Linked DNA regions of Ovis aries. The protein of the gene in region 4 interacts with the protein of the main gene of each other region in a pairwise test. Links are inferred from orthologs where the notes say so. Each region holds a gene or a part of one and is shown on either strand. Other genes may lie near its edges.

Evidence for each region.
Region 1: the proteins of HOMER3 (region 4) and FRYL interact in binary tests that used the Homo sapiens proteins (3 or more experiments, as listed by UniProt). The two-hybrid records come from large-scale screens. The link is inferred for Ovis aries from reciprocal best matches to the Homo sapiens genes HOMER3 and FRYL.
Region 2: the proteins of HOMER3 (region 4) and EAF1 interact in binary tests that used the Homo sapiens proteins (3 or more experiments, as listed by UniProt). The two-hybrid records come from large-scale screens. The link is inferred for Ovis aries from reciprocal best matches to the Homo sapiens genes HOMER3 and EAF1.
Region 3: the proteins of HOMER3 (region 4) and PKN1 interact in binary tests that used the Homo sapiens proteins (3 or more experiments, as listed by UniProt). The two-hybrid records come from large-scale screens. The link is inferred for Ovis aries from reciprocal best matches to the Homo sapiens genes HOMER3 and PKN1.

What each region holds. Positions count from the first base shown.
Region 1 is NC_056059.1:68,113,284-68,118,459, forward strand, and holds the start of FRYL (protein furry homolog-like), read right to left. Parts: upstream 3,339-5,176; 5' UTR 3,116-3,338; intron 1-3,115. UniProt on the Homo sapiens protein: Plays a key role in maintaining the integrity of polarized cell extensions during morphogenesis, regulates the actin cytoskeleton and plays a key role in patterning sensory neuron dendritic fields by promoting avoidance between homologous dendrites as well as by limiting dendritic branching.
Region 2 is NC_056054.1:273,470,973-273,476,305, reverse strand, and holds the start of EAF1 (ELL-associated factor 1), read right to left. Parts: upstream 3,503-5,333; 5' UTR 3,293-3,502; coding exon 2,920-3,292; intron 969-2,919; coding exon 874-968; intron 1-873. Other genes in the region: tRNA N(3)-methylcytidine methyltransferase METTL6, read left to right, coding at 4,343-4,567, 5,294-5,333. UniProt on the Homo sapiens protein: Acts as a transcriptional transactivator of ELL and ELL2 elongation activities.
Region 3 is NC_056058.1:9,628,323-9,632,887, reverse strand, and holds part of PKN1 (serine/threonine-protein kinase N1), read left to right. Parts: intron 1-2,479; coding exon 2,480-2,555; intron 2,556-2,644; coding exon 2,645-2,786; intron 2,787-2,878; coding exon 2,879-2,972; intron 2,973-4,551; coding exon 4,552-4,565. UniProt on the Homo sapiens protein: PKC-related serine/threonine-protein kinase involved in various processes such as regulation of the intermediate filaments of the actin cytoskeleton, cell migration, tumor cell invasion and transcription regulation.
Region 4 is NC_056058.1:4,098,460-4,102,896, forward strand, and holds the end of HOMER3 (homer protein homolog 3), read left to right. Parts: intron 1-581; coding exon 582-703; intron 704-1,228; coding exon 1,229-1,385; intron 1,386-1,716; coding exon 1,717-1,827; intron 1,828-1,936; coding exon 1,937-2,020; intron 2,021-3,130; coding exon 3,131-3,322; 3' UTR 3,323-3,598; downstream 3,599-4,437. UniProt on the Homo sapiens protein: Postsynaptic density scaffolding protein. Binds and cross-links cytoplasmic regions of GRM1, GRM5, ITPR1, DNM3, RYR1, RYR2, SHANK1 and SHANK3.

The DNA.
Region 1 (5,176 bases), on a different chromosome or scaffold from region 4:
TTCTCTTTTCCCTATGGGTGATCATTTTGCATCTTCCCCATGAATCTCCGTAACTTTGAAAGTAATGACTATCATCCATTTCTACTTTATGTTTCCATAATACTCCTCAAATAAATGGGTACTCAACAGATGTTGACAAATTAAACCTAGTTCTAATAATTGGGACGACAATCACCCTCACGAAAGATGTCTGTGGATCAAACACTACTAACAATTAAGTCACGTTTTTGTACACAGAACAAAAAGCAACTAGATTAATATACCTGCCCCTAGACACTAAACCAACTGCTGGTCTCTGGTGTAACTTGTTCAGAAAGGTATCTTAAAAAATAAATAAATAGGCCTCTCAAGCAGTCTTTACAGAACGTTATCTTTTTCCCTCACAAAGTCCTAAGTCAACAAATCCATTTACTGGGCACTAGAAATGTATTAGGTGACAGAGCGAATCTGCACAGAAATAGAGGACAGTCCTAGTTCCCAGGGATCTCAAGGGACACTTCACAATTCAAGAAATGCCTTGGCAATGTGTATATTTAAGACAATGTGCTTAAAACAATGTGAAAAGCACACAGGAAAAATATGTTCTCCCTGAAACACAGCCTAGATATTTCAAAGATAATTCTGAGTGTTTCCTTTATATGTAATCTTTTAAAAGTTCCGGAATTCTCTCCTTTATTGTTTAAATAAGCTGGTAAGTGAACAAAAATAGAATTTTGGAAACTTGCTTTAATCTTCTACTTTCTATTATGAAATGGAAAGGAAGATTATGCTAGCAAGCTTGCCTGACATACTTATCAAAGGAAAGGAGAAGAAAGGGGAGCATTATGTGTACAATGCCAGATATCATCAAGATTACTAGGAAAGATCATGTGTTTGTATGTCTACACTTCCAAAATTCTATAGGAAGAGTAAAGCATCTCTCAAATATTATTCTCTGAAACTGACTTTTAGTTTCCCAGGTATAGTTTTTCTTTGCTATTGCTGAGCCTGTGAATTTATGTTATAATGCTTCACATCCACTCATAAAGTTACTGAACAGTTAATGAACACTTTGGAAAGTTGTTATATTGCTTAAACACACACACACCAACCACTGGGCCAGAGGTTCCAATAAATTCACTTTTCCTAAAAAAGTAATTTTACAAAATAACTCAGAATGGAAGAAAAGCCAGGATGGAATGCTATCTTTGATAATGAGTAGCCAAAAAGAGACTACATAATAACACACCCACCGCAACTTTGTTTATAGGCTTGTAACTTGCACATGCAAGTACTCTACAAAGTATTGCACAAGAAGAAACTGTCAAAAATGAATGCTCATGAAAATATTCCTTTTCTAAATAAGGTTTCTAACAAGGACGTACTATTTCTAAATGTAACTTCTTTAGCATGTTTTGACAGGTATGTGTATTAGTCGCTCAGTCGTGTCTGATTCTTGGCGACCCCATGGACTGGAGTCCGTCAGGCTCCTCTATCCGTGGAATTCTCCAGGCAAGAATACTGGAGTGGGTTGCCATTCCCTTCTCCAGGGATTGACAGGTATAGAATACCACTAATGCTTAAGATGGAGGAGGAAAAATTTCTTGTTTATCAATAGTACAAGCGGCTGTTACTAACTACAACGTCTATGGGTTCAGTAGCAGAAACAAACTTTACGGAAGGTATCTGCTGGGCAGAATAGTTAAACTAACTTTATTTCTACCCAAATTCTATTTTTTCCGCCTAATCCTATAGACCCTAGCAATCTGAAGCTTTTTGTTTTGTTTTGCAATGTTTCTTTTCCCTTCCAAAAGAATCTCCGCCAGTCAATCGAGGTAACACTTTCCACAGTTCAAAGGTGAAGGCAAATTCTCACTACAAAGAGCTCTTGCTCCTCATCAGCACCCCCCCCCTTTTTTTTTCAAATTATCTTGACCTAATAGGGGACGGGACGACAGAGGATGAGATGGCTGGATGGCATCACCGACTCGATGGACGTGAGTCTGAGTGAACTCCAGGAGTTGGTGATGGACAGGGAGGCCTGGCGTGCTGCAATTCATGGGGTCGCAAAGAGTCGGACACGACTGAGCGACTGAACTGAACTGAAATGAAGAGAGGTTAATGCTCCCTTGCAATGCAAATCCACAAAAGAAACGATTTTAGGCGCCAGGAATGAAACTGAGATGGGAGGAAAAGTCCGACAGCTATCAAGAACCATTTCGTCCTACAAGTGAGCCTTTCCAAAACGCAGGGAACGATGTTTTGCCCAAAGAACCTGCCGCCCGGAAGCCATAACTTCCATCAATAGGCAAAGAAAAGTTACAAAGAGCTCAGCACCCAGGCAGCCTGCGCGGGTGCGGAGACGGGAGAGCTGCAAAGACGCTCCCTGGCCCCGACGGGCGGCGGCTGCGGTGTCAGTGGGGGCAGACTCCAGCTCAGGCAGGCAGGGAGTCTAGGGGTGCGCCGCCGGCCCGGAGCAGCGCGGGCACGGCGCCCGCATCCGCACCCCTCCCCACGACCGCGAGCAGTGGGCGGAGAGACCAGAGCAGAAGAAAAGCAGGACAATGCTGGGCCCGGCTGGCGACTCTGCACTCTCCGTGGTCCCCAGCGCCCCTTCTCGCCCGGGGTCGCCAAGCTGCCGCGCTAAGTTTGCTTCCCAGCCCTGCCTTCACAGCCAGGGCGGCAGAGCGGTGGCCGCCGACCTCCCTCCGCCGCGCCGCCTTCCTCCCCGCGGGGCGGCTCCCGCGAGTCCGCGAGGACGCGGCGCGCGAGAGCAGAATTGGGCGCGCGAGGGGAAGGGGGCGCGCAAGGAAGCAGCGCGCGCATCGGGAGCCGGGCGCGCGGGGGAGCAAAGCGCGCGGCTCTCCCCGAGGACCAGCTGCCGCTCCGGCGAGTTTTCGGTTTAGACGGGGGCTGCGGCGCGGCTTAGTGTCCGTTACGGGTCTTGGCCCGGGCGGCGCAGATTGCCAGCCATCCTGGCCCGCCTCCCCTCTCAGCCCCCATCAGAAAGCGGGCGAGGGCCGGCGATCTCGTCTCCCGCCGGGGCTGTGGCCGCCGGCCGACGGGCATCCCGGCGCCCGCCTCTGGAGCTGGAAGAGAAAGTGAAATGAAGCGCCTTTCCCCAGGCAACACCTACCCGTCCCCAGTCCAAGTGCAGCTGCCTCGCTCCTCAGGCGCCGCCGGTCCCCGCCCTCGGGCCCCAGGCTCCGTTCTCTTGACAATAGCGCGTCCCCTTTAAGGAATAATCCGATCGGAACCGATCTGTGGTTAAACCTCCCTCCGACTCCAGATTTTAACCGGATTTCTCTCTCACTCCCCAAGAGCCCGACGGGCGCCCGGCGGTGCTGCGAGCTCTTCCCACCTCTTCCCCGCCCCGCCTACTCCCTGGTCTTCCTGATTGGCGAGAAACACTACAACAGGAACAGCAGTTCTCACACCCCACTGGCCAGTGCAGCCGCCGCTCAGAGTTACCCCCGCCTTCACCCCGCCCCTTTTCCTGGGTTGGTCCTACCTCTAATCATTCTCTGTCTTCTACTCTGTCGTTGCTTTGGAGAACTGGCAGTCAAGGCTTACCCTCCCGCCTCCGGAAAGCGAACTTTATTTTTATTGGTAAAAGGACATCTTCCTGTGCACCTGATTGGACAAGGAAGGAGTTAGTCTGCACGCCCCTTACCCATTATTGCTCTCTGTACACGGGTTTGAGAAACACAACCGCCGAGTCCTCCTCCCCACTTTGCCTAGTTCGAAGCGCCTTTCCCTTTAAATGTTGGTAGGGGTCGTAGACAAACTCATAGTCTGTGTTGGGCAAAGACGAAAAGGGAAAGGAGAAAATTTCAAAATCTTCTGATGACTTAATATATCGGGGAACTGGAGCTGGGATCCAGCGGAATATCATCCTTCGGTCTACTGAATGGAGTGGTTAGAATGAGGAAGAATACCTGCAATTCTAGTACTCACTCTTGAGATGTAATCAACAAGTTTTCACTCACTGTCCATTCTACTCCTACTGTCGATCCCACTGGCATTTTACTACCCCAAAGAGCTTTAATAAAGATATCTGCAAACCTAGGGGTGCCCTTGTTTGTTCCACAGTGGTTCGTTTAAATCGCTTCTATTTAAAGCTCCGTTTAATTCATGTCCTCTGTTGTTATCTAGGGTTTGTCACGAGATCTAAGCTACTCTTCTGAAAAGATTGAATAGATGCCCACCCACCGTGCCATCCTCCAAAGTTGAAGAAGTCCTTACCTCTTGCTAGAGCTGCGTAAGGGGAGCCTGGGTTGAGCCCAGTTGGGCACCAGAAGGTTATTCCTTGAGAGAACTGAAGGAGTCTGGCACCGGAAGCTTAACCCTGCAGCAAAACCTCACGCATGGAAAAAGGAGGAATTCTTCGGCAGCCTGGTAAGGTCTGTGTTAGGAGCTCCCCAGTTTCCCATGGGAACTGTAAGAACCGGAAGGGTTGTACCTACTAAGATTCGGTACTCAAGTGCTTTGGTACCTATCTATGAATGTTAGGGAGAAATCGTTAAATGTATGCCTCCCTTTGCCAATGAACTTAGAGACACTTTGGACCTCAGGATGTTTAGTTTATTTGCAGTGAGAGCCCAGCGGAAACAAGCGGTGCCAAGAAAGTGGCAGCGCTTGGCAGTACCCCAGAAGGGATTTAGGACCAGAAAGAGGGAGATAAACAGCAGTAGTAGATAGGAATTTTCGGAGAGTTCAGGGGGAAAATCTCCTGGAAATACCCTAAACATGGAAGAGGGAGAAAAGGGAAAGGTTGTAGGCGGTTTAGGTGTTTCTATTAGGGGCAAGAGACAAGGAAATAACCTGGATTATATTTATATGGTCTTCACAGGTATTTTTTAAAAATCAAGATCCAGGTTAAGTTTTCAAGTTCTTTGTAAATCTCTTGCTTCATGAGGCCAAGAGTATTTTGTTACACTAGCACATTGGGCTCATAACTCCAGAAAGCAGTCTACAGTAACCTCTGGATTCTTTTCCTTACACCTAACCAACCATGATCATAACCTAACAAATGTAATTTATATTGTGTTCTCTCTATTTCACACTTGCCCACAATAGATTTATTTATTACTTTTTTAGCCTATACACCCAGACTCCTGGTAATAATACTGCTATTGATATTTTACACTGAGGAAGAATTTAGAAAATCTACAAGCCTGCATGTGCAGGTCATTCT
Region 2 (5,333 bases), on a different chromosome or scaffold from region 4:
TTAGTATTTGCCGAATGTATCGTTAAATCCCCTGGATGGAATCAGAAATTGGTTGGCTCCTTGACTCCTGGTTCATACAGTAAAAATTAAGAGCTGGAAGGGACCCTAGGGATCATTTATCTAACCTCTTTATTTTACATTTGGGAAACTAAGGTCCAAAGGGAGATGATGTAACCTGCCAAAGGCAACAACTAATGAGAGCTGTTTGAACTGGCAGACAGTTTTTTGTCAGCACAACGCTTCCCAAGGCTCTCTGTCCAGAGCCTTTTCATTCTCTCACTGGTTACCAAGAGCTTATCATGTTCCAGGACAGGCCTGGGACATGCACGTGTTCATTAAGACTATTCTGTCTGATCCTTGCGATCACAGTGGTGCCTTGATAAGACTTCAGCAGTGTCTCTCTGCGAAGGTTCTCCACTCAGCTTTTAACCTGCGGCTCTGAACCTAGGTCCTGCCTGAAACCACCAGCCTGCACATCACCCCCTGCCAGATTCATGAACCATGCTGATCCCGCCCCTGCCTCTCCACGCCCCTAAGCCGTTGCTGTTTTATACCCATAGAGCACTTGGGCCTCTTTCTCTGCAGCTGTTGGGAGAGGCTACATATGTCTAAAGGAGGAGCCAGGTTCCACCTTGCCTTCTTAGGAACAAATGGGGAAAGGGAGTTTGGGAAAAATGACAAAGAATTTTTTTTACTCAGGAGCCTGGGAAGCATGAATTCCATCCCATCTGACCCCCCTAGTTCCTTTTCTCATGCTGGCACTTCAGAAATCTAGAAGTTTTTAAAAAGGAGGAAATCAAATTGCAATAACAATATGAGGATTCACTGTGATTCCACATTAAACAACAGCAACAACGATGTAATAAAACCTACAGGGATATGCGGCAGCGTAATTGTGACTTCATCTCCTTTGCCGACCTGAAGCTCTCCTTCACAGGAAGTGTCTATAGACGCCGGCTTAAAGTCATCTAAAGGGAAAGGAAAAAAAGCATTTATCCACCAGGTTACTTGTATTAAGTGCTTGCACGGCATTCACATGTAAGAATGGAAATTTTTTATAACTCAGATAAAAGAAAATACAAACCACTTAGAATTTCTTAAAATGTTATCTCACTGTGGAAAATTTCTCATATACAACAGCAAAGAGAATACTATAATGAGTCCTGAATACCATCACCCAGCTTCATTACCAGTTCTGGGGCAATATAGTTTCATCTATACCTCCATATACTTTCCCTCTTATCCCCACTGGATAATTCTGAAGGAAAAAGGCTAGAATTTATGCAACTTTTCATTAAGCAGATACTCCCTTCCCCTAAGTGACAGATGAAAATTCATGCCTTATTACCTACAATGAGGTGTTTTATTAGGGTTATTATAAGGATGAAAAGCAACAGAGTATGTTTTTAAAACCCTGCGATTGTAAAACACACTATGAAACATGAGAGGTCACAGCATTTTGATAAGAACTGTCAAAGTTAGGATCTGCCACACTCAAGTTCCATAGCTTTAACAAGAATATTCCTACAGATATCTGGAGCAGAAGGTTGCACTGTACTTCCAAAGGTTAATCCTGCCCATGTTTCTGAATTGCAGTTAAGGCACAGCGTGAACAGCCATCTTACTGTCTTTTAACACAAACCTGCCTCAGACTGCAGGCCAGGTACATCTGTCAAGTGTCTTATTTAAACTGCACGTTGCCCTTCATTCTGCCACAACATCAACTTAGTAAATTGTTCAGGAAATGATGCTGCTCTTCTCACATTCCCAAAACCCAGCCCCTCAGAGGGCTGATCTGCCGTCAGCAGGAAGCAGAGTAATGGCCTGGCAAGTGACCACAGGAAGACAGAAGTTCACCACCTACTACGCCTGTTTCAAGGTGTTGAGTCACATCTAAGAACTCCTCGGACAAAAACAAGTCTTAACCAGTACTGGGGCTACTGGGACGCGAAACCAGGAGTCTGTGAATCATAGTGGGATGCTCTGGCGGCCAATTCTTCACCCAGGATACACAGTGGAAAGGCCCTCCCCTCAACAGAGTCTGTAATCATGGAGAAAAAAAGAGGTCCAGCATAATGACTATCTGCACACTCCTTATGCCTGCTGGCTTTTGCTTCCAAACATAGATCAAGCTCTAACTTATTCCTGGCTCTCCAATCCTAATTTTACTTTCCACCCACAAGGGACTGGGTCTGGAGAAAAAGTGAGGGGTAGTCTGGTGACCTCAAAAAGACATCAAAGCGCGAGACAAGCTGGCACAGATATATGGAGGAAAAGAAGGCGGACGGGGCGCAGAGCTGCGGGCTCTGGGGCTGCAGCCGGGCGTCGCGGAGGCCAGAACCCAAGGGGGCAAGGAAAGAAAAGCAAAGGCGGCCGGAAGGGAATGGAACAGGAGGGAGTGGAGGCCAACGCCGAGGAAAACGAGAAGAGCTCCTGAAGCGTGGAGATGCCCAGTGGGGATCGGGGTGTGGATCGAGGGGGAGGGGGTGGCTGGAATACAAAGAAGCTGGAAACTGATGTGGGGTCGCAGCCCTTCGGTAATAAGAGGGGAAGGTGGAGGATGCCAATCCCGAGGAAACGAGAAGAGCTCCTGAAGCGCGGGGATCTGGGTGTGTGGGGGGCGGTGGGGGTGAGGAGAGGCTGGAATACAAAGAAGCTGGAAACTGATGGGGTCGCAGCCCTTCGGTAGTAACATGGGGACGTGGAGGTTCGGGGCGCAAGAGGGTCCAATGACCTTCGGGAGAAGCATTTGGTAGCGCAAAGCGGAGAAATCCTGGGAGCTGAGGGAAGGGTCTGGTCTGAGAAGAGGGAGCTGGGAAAAAAAAACAAAGGAAAAACCCGAGGTCCCCCGAGGGAGGGAACGCCGGCAAGGCCCCCTGGCCTTCTCCGGGGCAGAGGGCGACCGGGGGGCGGACTCACAGCGGATGGTGTGGAAGGAGGCCCGCGGCCGCTTCTCGAAGCTCTCCCCGAGCCGCAGGCAGTGCTCCTCGCGGTCCAGCAGCGGGTTGGCCGTCCCGTTCATGGCCCCGCACGGGCCTCGCGCCCGCCCGGGCGCCCTCCTGGCGCGGCCCCGGCCCGAGCCGCCGGCGCCGGCGTCCGGAGGAGCCGCGCTTCCGGGACAGCGCTCGGGGGCGCGCGGGGAGCCGAGCCGGCGCCCACCCGCGCAGGCCGGAAACGAGCTCGGGCCTGCGCGTCTGGGCGGGGGACGACTCCGAGCAGACCCGACGGCGGAACTTCCGGCGCCGAGGAGGGACGTCCGGGCCCGCAGCGGAAGTAGAGGGGGCGGTGCCATGGCCGAAGGTCTTTGCCGCCGGGAGAATCCGGATTCGAGGTCTCTCTGCGGGGCGGGGGTGGGTGTTGGCCAGGCGAAGGGTTTTGGTTTTGTTTTGTTTTGTTTTTTTTTTTTTCCCCGCGGTGGCTCCCAAGTTCTGCTTCTGAGGCTGCGCCTGGCTGGGGGCTCAGCGCGCCCGGCCCCACCCTTCAGGGGAACCTAGGAACTGCTGACTGGGGCGCCCGGCGCGCGGTGGACTAGGCTCACGCGGGTCGCCGCCGCCCCTCGCGGCTGGGCGGCCCGGCTCATCCGCAGGGTCCTGGCGGCCCCACTCTCCGCGTCCCTGAGCCTCTTTTTCGTCCCTTTCGCGCGCCCAGGGCGGCGCGAGGGCCTCAGTTCCCGAAAGGGACGCGCCCTGGGGTTCATGAGACAGACTCAGGCCACCCGGGCGTAGTAGCTCCGTTTTCCCCGAAAAACGCCGTCTCTCGCGTCCTTGGCGACGGTGACCGACCGCCTGGGGCTTGGACAGCCGTCGTGGTTGTTTTTAAAGACACCCCCGTTTCACGGACACCGAACCCTGAGGAACCGTAAGGTTTCTCAGTCAGTTCTTGAGAGTGACTTTTTTTCCTGACTGAAAGCGGCTTACTGACTGTTCGGGTTGGAATTAAGCCTTTCTGTGCGTGAGAGCCCTGGCCGCTGGATGTCAGCCCCCTGCAGGCGGGGGTCTGTGTCTTGCTCTTTGTGACCTCTTCTGTAGTGGGGTAGGGCTTTGTGTAGGGTCAGCATCTAGTAAATGTTTGCGGAATTGAAATGTTAAGTGAAAGAACTAATCAAGAACCGCTAACTGAGCATCTTAAAAAAAAAAACCTGTTCTAGAACCTCCCACCGGAATGTCTTTTTCTTTCCTGCGAAGTATCCGATGGCTGCTTCAGGCTTGAACCCAGCCTGAGGGACCACATCTGAGAGGACCCTGCCTGTGTCTGTGGTATCCACTTGAAGTCCTCAGGTTGCTGAGGAATGGGCCATCTCCAGCAGTGTTAAATGTTCAGCATATGACCATCCACGTAGGAGATGGCTGCTTTGCAAAGGAGAGGGCTGCAGACAAGGATTCTCAGCTCTGAAGAAGAGGAGAAACTGAAGAGAGACCAAGCTTTAGTGTCTGATTTTAAACAGCAGAAACTGGAAAAAGAGGCTCAGAAGAACTGGGACCTTTTTTACAAAAGAAACAGCACTAATTTCTTCAAAGATAGACACTGGACCACCAGAGAGTTTGAGGAGCTCAGATCATGTAGAGAGGTAAACTAATACTGCACCTTGTTCGAGCGATTCTTCATTTAAAATGTGTAGAAGAGGGGTGTTTTATTGGATTCCCAGGGCGAGTGTGAGGTAGAAAATTTACGAAACCTGTCAAAGGCTTCATGAATTTTTGTAGCTTAGATATACACTGTCTCAAATAGTTTTAGCAGTTGCTGAGTTGTAAAATACAGAGGAGAGAGGACTTGAGTGGGCATTTTCTGTTTCTTTAAAGCGAATCTGAAAATTGTAAATATTGAGTTCACACTGAATGATTTCAGTGACAGGTTCATAATGATAATGGAGATGAATGCTTCACCACAGCCCTTCACATGAACTTAACAGTAGTGTTCTGTAATTTAAACCTTAAAGTAACATGTTGAAGTTTAGCGTTAGGGTTATTCCCACTTGCTGATGAAACTGAGGGACAAAGCTGTGTGAGTGACTTGTTCAGTGACGGAATGCAGGGTGAGGGGAAAAGTTCAGATTTGCGTGCAGGCACTTTAACCTCAGAGCCTGTTGTGTTAGCCATTACGCTGTTGTTTTCTCCACACCAGATTACCCAGTGTTGGACAACAGATGAGGCATCAGTTGCTTTGGGTTATCCCTTCACTGGTTAATTGTCTACTCCATGGGGGCAGAGACCTTGTTTCATGTTCTGGACCTTTTAGTTTGTTTCTTCATTAGGTGGGATGTTGTGTACTGTAACTTTGGGTTCTCTTTCCTCAGTTTGAAGATCAGAAATTGACTATTCTTGAAGCTGGCTGTG
Region 3 (4,565 bases), about 5.5 Mb from region 4:
TAACACTTTGATTTCACATGTGTGTGTGTATACATATATGTATGTATTTATGTTTAGACATACCTCCCCATGTCCTTAACCTTAGAGGAAAAGTCTTTTTTTTTTTTCTTTCATTTCGCTGCTTGCTTAGATTTTTTTTAAGTTTATTATTTATTTTGGCTTTGCTGGGTCTTCATTGCAGCTTTCAGGCTTCTCTAGTTGTGGTGCCTGGGCTCTAGAGTGCTTGGGTTCAGTCGTTGTAACTTGTAGACTTGATTGCCATCTGTGGGATCTTTGTTTCCTGACCAGGGATCGAACCTGGGCCCCCTGCATTGAGAGTGTGGAGTCTTATCCATTGGACCACCAGGAAAGTCCCCACTACTTGCTTAGTTTTTTAAATACCAGTTTTCTTTGCAAAAAGATCAGACCGTGTGAAAAAGAAACAGAATTCCCAGTGTATGCATGCAAAGTCGCTTCAGTCGTATCCTACTCTTTGCGATGCTATGGACTCAAGCCCACCAGGCTCCTCTGTCCATGGGATTCTCCGGCCGAGAATACTGGAGTGTGTTGCCATGCCCTCCTCCAGAGAATCTTTCTGACCCGGGGATCAAACCTGCAGCTCTTATGTCTCTGTCATTGGCAGACGGGTTCTTTACCATTAGCTCAACCTGGGAAACCCTAGTATAAAAAATTCCCAGTGCACAGTATTTTAAACAAAAAACGGCTGTATTATTAACTCTGTTTTCAGGAATGGGATAAATATCAAGAGAGTCATTGGGTTCAAGTGAGTTTAAAGATTAACCTGAAAGAAGCTTTTCCTTGGCTGTGAAAGTCGTTCACTTGTGTCTGACTTTCTGCGACCCCATGGACTATATAGTCCATGGAATTCTCCAGGCCAGAATACTGGAGTGGGTAGCCTATCCCTTCTCCAGTGAATCTTCCCGACCCAGGAGTCGAACCAAGGTCTCCTGCATTGCAGGTGAATTTTTTACCAGCTGAGCTACCAGGGAAGCCTCTAGATACCAAAAGTCTACATTGCTCTAAGTTTTCACTAGAAAATGCTTTCAAAATTTTAAAACAGTCACTTTTCAGTAATTTCTAACTAATTCACTAATTCCTAAAAATATCTAGAAAAATTCTTGAAATAGTCAAGGGCTATTTTACTATCTGGGTGAAAATTCTTACATAATCTCGTAATCCAGGACCACAGAAGGAAAGGCGCAGAGAAGAGCTGACTTCACACGGCAGGGCCATGAAATTATTCTTCTGTTAGGAAGACTGTCCAAAACCCAAGTGGATAATAGTGGTGGGTGGCCAGGGGTAAGAGTTCTGAGGCAGTCCTGCTTGTCTTCAAGATTTACTTACTATTTTTTTTTTTAAGAAAGATTGTTGTTTCTTTTTTAAAAAATGTTACTTATTTTCATTTTTGGCTTGGCTGAGTCTTTGTTGCTGCTCGGGCTCTTCTCTAGTTGTGGCGGGCGGGCTTCTCATCGCCGTGGCTTCACTAGTGACCGAGCACGGGCTCTGGAGCACCGGCTCAGTAGTTGTGGCTCACGGGCTTAGCTGCTCGGCGGCAAGTGGGATCTGCCTGGATCAGCAATTGAATGTCTCCTGCATTGGCAGGCGGATTCTTTACCACGGGAGAAGCCCCCAAGGTTTACTGAGAACATTCTCTTTTGTTCTCCCCAAAGCACCATCCTATAGAACCTTCTGCAGTTCTGTCGCCTCTGAGCCTACAATAGTTGAGTTCTGTCGTAGATGGTATTGTTCCGTGTCTGTGTCCTCCTGTATAGTAGCCGCTAGCCTCTTGAAGTCTGGCTAGTGTGACGGGGGACTGACACTTTCAGTCAGCTTACATTTTACTTCATTTCAGTAGCCACATGTGGCTAGAGGTGACCAGATCGGGGACACCCATAAAGTCACATGGTTCTATGACTTCAACACCTTCCAGAAGATGTGATGCAGTTGGGAGAATTCCATGAGACCAGTGGTTTCCCCACATGAGTGGACACCAGCATCATCACCTGGAAGGCTTGCTAGAACACACACTGCTGGGCTCCACCCCCAGGGTTTCTGATTCAGTGGGTCCAGGGTGGGTGGAGGTGCTGAGAATCTCCCTTTCCAGCAGGTTCCCAGGGATGCTGGTGATGCTGGTTTGTGAGCACAGGAGGGGAGGCGGGACGCTGAAGGAAGGGTAGTTCCCATTTGCCGGAGTCGTCCGTAGGTCTTGTTGGATCAGAGCTGCTCCCCACCCCTAGAAGAGGGCCTGCTTGCCTGCCTGCTTCTTGCTTTTCCAGGGTGGCTTTCAAGAGGTGGTCCTGTCAAAGGATGGATTGGCTTTGTGACCCCTTAATACGCTGCATGGTACTCTGTGGTTGGATGCGATGCCACAGTGACTGGAACCCTGGAAACGTACGGGTGTGCACGCCTATGACCCTGAGGCTCCCCCAGCGAGATGCTAGAGGAGGGCTAGGGTCCTCACGCCAGCCCCTCCCCTCAGGTCACCTTCCGCAACCCTGTCATTGAGAGGATCCCCCGGCTCCGACGACAGAAGAAGATCTTCTCCAAGCAGCAAGGTGAGGGGATGAACCGGGACAGGGCAGAGACCAGGGTTGCCATCCGTGTCATGGAGGCTAACGTCCACCCCCATGCTGCCCTTCCCCAGGGAAGGCATTTCAGCGTGCTAGGCAGATGAACATCGACGTTGCCACCTGGGTACGGCTGCTTCGCAGGCTCATCCCCAACGCCACGGCCACTGGTACCTTCAGCCCGGGGGCTTCACCAGGACCTGAGGCTCGGTCCACAGGGTAAGCGGGGGGTGGGGCCCTGGGAGGCCCGCTGCCCTGGCTGCTTTCCCGGGCGCCAGGTCTTAGATGCGCCCTCCTTCCTTGTGCCGCAGTGACGTATCTGTGGAGAAGCTGAACCTCGGGGTTGAGACAGACAGCTCACCCCAGAAGAGCCCTCTGGGTCCTCCTTCCAGCCCATCCAGTCTGGTGAGCACCCCACCTTGGCCCAGCTCGAGTTCCAAGCTCTCGCCAGGAACTTCCTTGGTCACACAGCTTATCTCTGCCAGAGCTAGGGTCTCATTTTCTATCCCAGACAAACACATGAGCTTGGGAGCCAGGCCCCCTGGGCCCCACTCCTTCTCTGTTGCCTCCTGTCTGTGTGACCCATGCCAAGCCACTTCACCTCTTCATGCTTAGCGCACCACTGTGTAAAACGATCAAGTTTAAAACTCATGTCGATGACAGGAGTCAGGTTAGTGGTTTCCTCCGGGCAGTTTGTTGACAGGAGAATGGACTCAGGAGAGCCTGCCAGCATGATGAAAATGTTCTGAAGCTTGATCTAGGTCAGAGGGCAAGTACGCTTTTTCTGGAAAGGACCATATCGTCAGTATCTTCAGCTTTGTGGGTCAGATGGGTCACAGTGATGACTCGTCAATACTGCTCTCATAGAAAGCAGCAACATGTGATACAGGCATGAAGGGGTGTGACTGTGCACTGGGAAAGCCTTGTGTCATATCCCTTTCAGGAATCATGAGCTATTTTTCTTCTTTTGATTTTTCTCAACCCTTTAAAAACATAAAAATGATTCTTAGCTTACAGACTGTACAAAACACGGAGTTTACCAACCCCTGGTCTAGCTCACAGGCATCTGGTTAGACACGTGTAAGAGCTGGTCCCATTACCCACCCCACTGAATGCATTTTATACCTCATTTTCTAAAAAATGGCAGCAATAACAACATATGCTTCATGGCATTAAGTGAGATCATTAAATAGATGAATTTGGCAAAAAAAAAAAAAATCCAAAAGTTGAATAACACTGAATGCTGGGGAGGATGCGGGAGAACAGGCAGGCAGTCAGTGGGAGGCATGTGAATCACTACATCTTCTTGGGAGGGCAAGCTGGTTGAGTTAAAAATGGGTGTTATCTTGACCTAGGTGTTCCACTCCTGGACATCTGTGATGGCCATTCACATACATGCACACAAAAAATGCTTGAATGAGTATGAAATACATCTAGAAAGGTACCCATGACATCATTAACAGCAGCTGGCTCTGGGGAGAGCAGCTGGGGCAGGAAAAACTGCATTTCCTACTGTATACCTGTTTGCACTGGTTGAACTTTTAAAACTATATAATGGGGAATGATGGACCAGTAGGTAAATTTTCTCCAACTTAAACTTTTAATTTTGATGCTTCATTATATATTCATATGATGTAAAGAATTAGGTGGTTCCATAAGGCTGTTACCAATAAAGGCAATAAGTTAGACGTATTGGAGCTTCAGCAACAGTCCTCCCAATGACTGTTCAGGGTTGATTTCCTTTAGGATTGACTGGTTTGATCTCCTTGCTGTCCAGGGGACTCTCAAGAGTCTTTTCTAGCACAATTCAAAGGCATCGGTTATTCAGCCCTCAGCCTTCCTTATGGTCCAGGTCTCACATCTGTACATGGCTCTTGGAAAACCCATAGTTTTGACTATACAGACACGAGAGGTCAGATTGGAGATGGGTCATATCCACTGTGGTTATGGGTTATTGTACTCTGACCTCCTGTCTCTGTCACAGAGTTCTCCGATCCA
Region 4 (4,437 bases):
CTGAGCGTTTCCCCCCACTAACCTATTCAACATCATTGATTGACCACCTACCGTGTGCCAGGCCCAGGACTGGGCACAGGGCTTAAGAAGATAAAAGAAGTAGGCTGGTCCCCGCCCTCAGGACTGTGGTCCAGGCATCAGGTGGATTCATAATGAATTTAGCCTAATAGAGTAGGTTTCTCATAGGAATTTTAAATAGCTGTTGAAATTTGGCCCCAGGAAAGGTCATTGCGGTGAGGGAATAGCACCGAGGCTTCAGATTGCTCCCCGATTTGCAGATTATGAGTATCTGTCTCCCTGGGTTTAGGCTAGCCTGCATTAGATTTGTTGCTGGTGGGTTGGTGAGAGCCCAGCAGGCAAGGAGGCGGGACAGGGCGCCAAACTACAGCCCAGGGGCCATGTGGGGGCCGTGGATGGTGGGGGAGGAGGGGAGAGGGACGATTGGATCCCAGTGCTGGGAAGGACCTCCTGCGCCCTCTCAGTCATGACCCCTGACATCAGCCCTGACCCCAACCATGACCTAACTGGCCCTTAACTGAAGCCACGCCCTACTGTGACTTCACTTCTATCCATGCCCTTAGGTGCCTCCGAGCCCCCTCGTCAGCGCCAATGGCCCCGGCGATGAGAAGCTATTCCGCAGCCAGAGCGCGGATGCCCCGGGCCCCGCTGAACGCGAGCGGCTCAAAAAGATGCTGTCCGAAGGGTGAGGAGGGTAGCACAGGGTGCAGGGGCGTGACAAGACGAAAGGTGGGGGAGGCGGGAGGAAGTTCTCAGAAATTGCTGGGACTTGTTCCAGCGGCGCAATCTGACAGTGGATCCACGCCTGGGATCCCAGAACAGGCCTGGGTTGGAGAGGAGACACCCAGATTATGCCCCTTCCAGAGCCGACGCCGCTTGCCTCATCCATTCCTCGGGGCTAGCCCTGGCCCGTCCACACCTCCCCCAGCTAATTCTAAACCCACGGATGCCTCCCCACCCCCTGGTTCTGTCCACATCCCATGGGCTGATACTGAGCTCCATGTGGACTGTCTCGCGGAGCGGACACAGAAGGGCCTGCTCTGACCCCACCTCCCGGGAAGACCCCGCCTCCCCGGGACGTCCCCACCCCCTTGTCTCGAGGTCTCTTGACCCCGCCCATAGCACCGCCCAAGACCCAGCCCCGCCTTCGCCCCGCCCCTGGCCCAGTGAGGCCCCGCCCTGCCCTCTGCCGACTCCGGCGCTCTCGCAGCTCCGTGGGCGAGGTGCAGTGGGAGGCCGAGTTCTTCGCGCTGCAGGACAGTAACAACAAGTTGGCCGGCGCCCTGCGAGAGGCCAACGCGGCCGCCGCCCAGTGGAGGCAGCAGCTGGAGGCCCAGCGCGCAGAGGCTGAGAGGCTGCGGCAGCGGGTGAGGAAGCCCCACCCTCCCGAAGACCCCAGGTGGCCCAAGGGTCACTGTGAAGGCCCTGCCTCCTATTTGTGTGGGTTCAACTGGCTGGATGTGTGATCTCGGCAGGTCACTTCCCAGAGTCTTAGTTTCTTGCTCTGTAGTATGGGTCTGAAGTACTGTCGGCCACAGAGGGTCATCAGACCCTGGAGTCCTACCTGCCAGAGGTGAGGTAGTGGCCGGGATTGAAGGGATGAGTTCCCTGTCATGGGCTTGACTGACCAGGAGGCGTATCCCTGGGGTGAGGAGGTCCAGACTGGGCCACCCGGGACTGACCTGCCTGTCTGCACAGGTGGCTGAGCTGGAAGCCCAGGCTGCAGCAGAGCCACCTGCGGTCAGTGAGAAGGAGGGACCCAGCCAGTCATTGGAGCAGCTGGAGGCGCTAGTGCAAACTAAAGACCAGGTGTGTGAACGCAGCTGTGTGCGTGTGTGCTTCCTCGGGCCTCGCTGTCCTTGATCTCCCGCAGGGGAGCCAAGGACCGCAGAACAGATTCTGGGAACTTTTCCTCCAGGAGATCCAGACCCTGAGGAGCCAGACTAGTGGATCCCGTGAGGCCGCAGACACCGAGCGCGAGGAGACGCAGCAGAAGGTGCAGGTGTGTGTGGTTGCTGTGTGGTGGGCTGGGGTGACTACCCGTGGCAGCCAGTTCCTGGTACGGGACCGACATGATCTTCCCTTCCCACGGGCTCTGGGCAGCTGTGGGCCTTCCTGAACCTCTGTTTCTTCACCTATAAATGGAGTCAGGAAGACATCTAAGGTTGTGAACGATTCAGATGACCAGGTGCATGGAAGGACTGAGTCAAATGATGGTTATTAGGACAATGTTTCATCTTCCATTCATTCAACAAGCAGTTTTTGAGTCTCTGTTGAATTTCCATTCTTGACCCTGTCAAATCCTCTCACATCCCCGTCTGAGGCCAGAAGCTTGCATTTGTACCCAGATGTGGCTGGCCTCGGAGAAGGCAATAGCAATCCACTCCAGTACTCTTGCCTGGAAAATCCCATGGACGGAGGAGCCTGGTGGGCTGCAGTCCATGGGGTCGCTAAGAGTTGGATACGACTGAGCGTCTTCACTTTCACTTTCATGCACTGGAGAAGGAAATGGCAACCCACTCATGTTCTTGCCTGGAGAATCCCAGGGATGGGGGAGCCTGGTGGGCTGCCTTCTATGGGGTCGCACAGAGTCGGACACGATTGAAGCGACTTAGCAACAGGACCAGCAGTGGCTGACCTGGCTTTCGCTGAAGACTTTTCTGAGGAACGTTCATAGGGGCATGTCCTGTGAGTCCAGCAGGTGGAGAAGTTAAAGGATCTGGTGCCCCCAGAGAGAGAGTATTTGAGGGAACACTCCCTGTTGTCTCCTGGGCAGCATGCACAGCAAATACAGAGGCCCTGAGGTGGGGAGAAAGTATTCAAGGAACCACAAGGAAGCCAGAAAGGCTGAGCAGGAACGAGCAAGGAGAGGAGGGAGGGGTCTGAATTTCATTCCCAGAACAATGGGTGACAGGAGGATTTCGAGGAATGTGGTCAGTTCAAATTGGCTGGGGGACCACGGAGTGTCTTGGGTACAGGTAGCTGGGAGAAAGCCAGCAGACAGGAAGAGTTTGGCCCAGAGTGGGGGCTGTGGTCCCTAGCACCTGCTTTGAGATGCTGGACCCTTGAGACTTTCTGGGGCCCCCAACATCTGCCTGCCCTCTCCCTGTAGGATCTGGAAACCCGAAACGCAGAGCTGGAGCACCAGCTGCGGGCCACGGAGCGCAGCCTGGAGGAGGCCCGGGTCGAGCGGGAGCGGGCACGGGCCGAGGTGGGCCGGGCCGCACAGCTGCTGGACGTCAGGCTGTTTGAGCTGAGCGAGCTGCGGGAAGGGCTGGCCCGCCTGGCCGAGGGTGCACCCTGAGTCCAGCCTCCGGGTCTGCATAGAGGAAGGGGCCTGTGGGAGCTGGTTTTACACAAACGGCTCCGGCTGGGGCACAGGCCAGGCCGCAGGCGGCACGGTGGGCCAAGCCCTGTGGCAGGGACTGGGGCCCAACTCAGCCTGGGGAGGGCTTGTCCACAGGACTCCAGCCAGCCCTGGCTGTTCACAGCTCAGAGGCTGTTTTTGAGCTTTTCATTGTGTAGAATTTCTAGACTCCCCAGGGCGCGTGCTGGTGCCCAAATTACATTTCTAAGCGTGGCTGTGTGCGTGGTGTCTGAGCAGCCCGGGTGTACCCAACCACCAGCACTGGGCCCTCTGTCCATCTGCCCTCAGCCTGGTAAGCCACCTGGAGGGCGAGGTTCAGAAAGCCCGAGGGAGCGTGCCCAGGACACATGGCTCTGCTTCCCCATCTCCTTAAGCCCTGCCCATGTTGTCTGGACCACCCTGGACTAAGGTGGACCCTGATTAATGCCCCCGCTTTCACTTCACTCTAACCACAAACCCCAAATACAACCAAGTGGGCAAGTGGGGAAGCTCCTAGAATGTGGCTGTGTTCACTAGGCATGGAAACGATCTCTCCAAAACATGTCTACATCTGGGTAGTAGAGTGGTTCCCCATTTTCCAGATGAGGAAACTGAGGCCCATATAAGGGACTTCACCCACCCAAGGTCACTCGGCTGGAATGGTCAACACTACAGTCCAAAGCTTTGGGCCTGGCCCGACAGAAAAGAACTAGTGGGTGGGGTGGCAACATGATGTTCCGGGGGACTTGAGAAGCACAGGCAGCCACACCCTCTTCCCGCTGCCCCTGCTCCCCAGAGTCGGACTGCAGAAGCTAAAAGCCTCATTTATTAAGCACCTCCTGCAAGTGACACACCTTTGCTCATCGCACATCCAGGCTGACCCTGGGCTGGGGTCACTGTGCCCCAGGTGGGCCGGGGCCCAACCTCACAGCCGGTGGTCTTTCTTCCTCAGCAGCCCGCCTCTTGGCCAAGGCTCTGAAAAGGGGCCACCAGAGGCTGCAGGGTGGAGGGCTGTGCACCGTACAACGTGTGTGTCAACGGGCTCTGCTGAGGGGCACTGGGCAGGCTGGGAG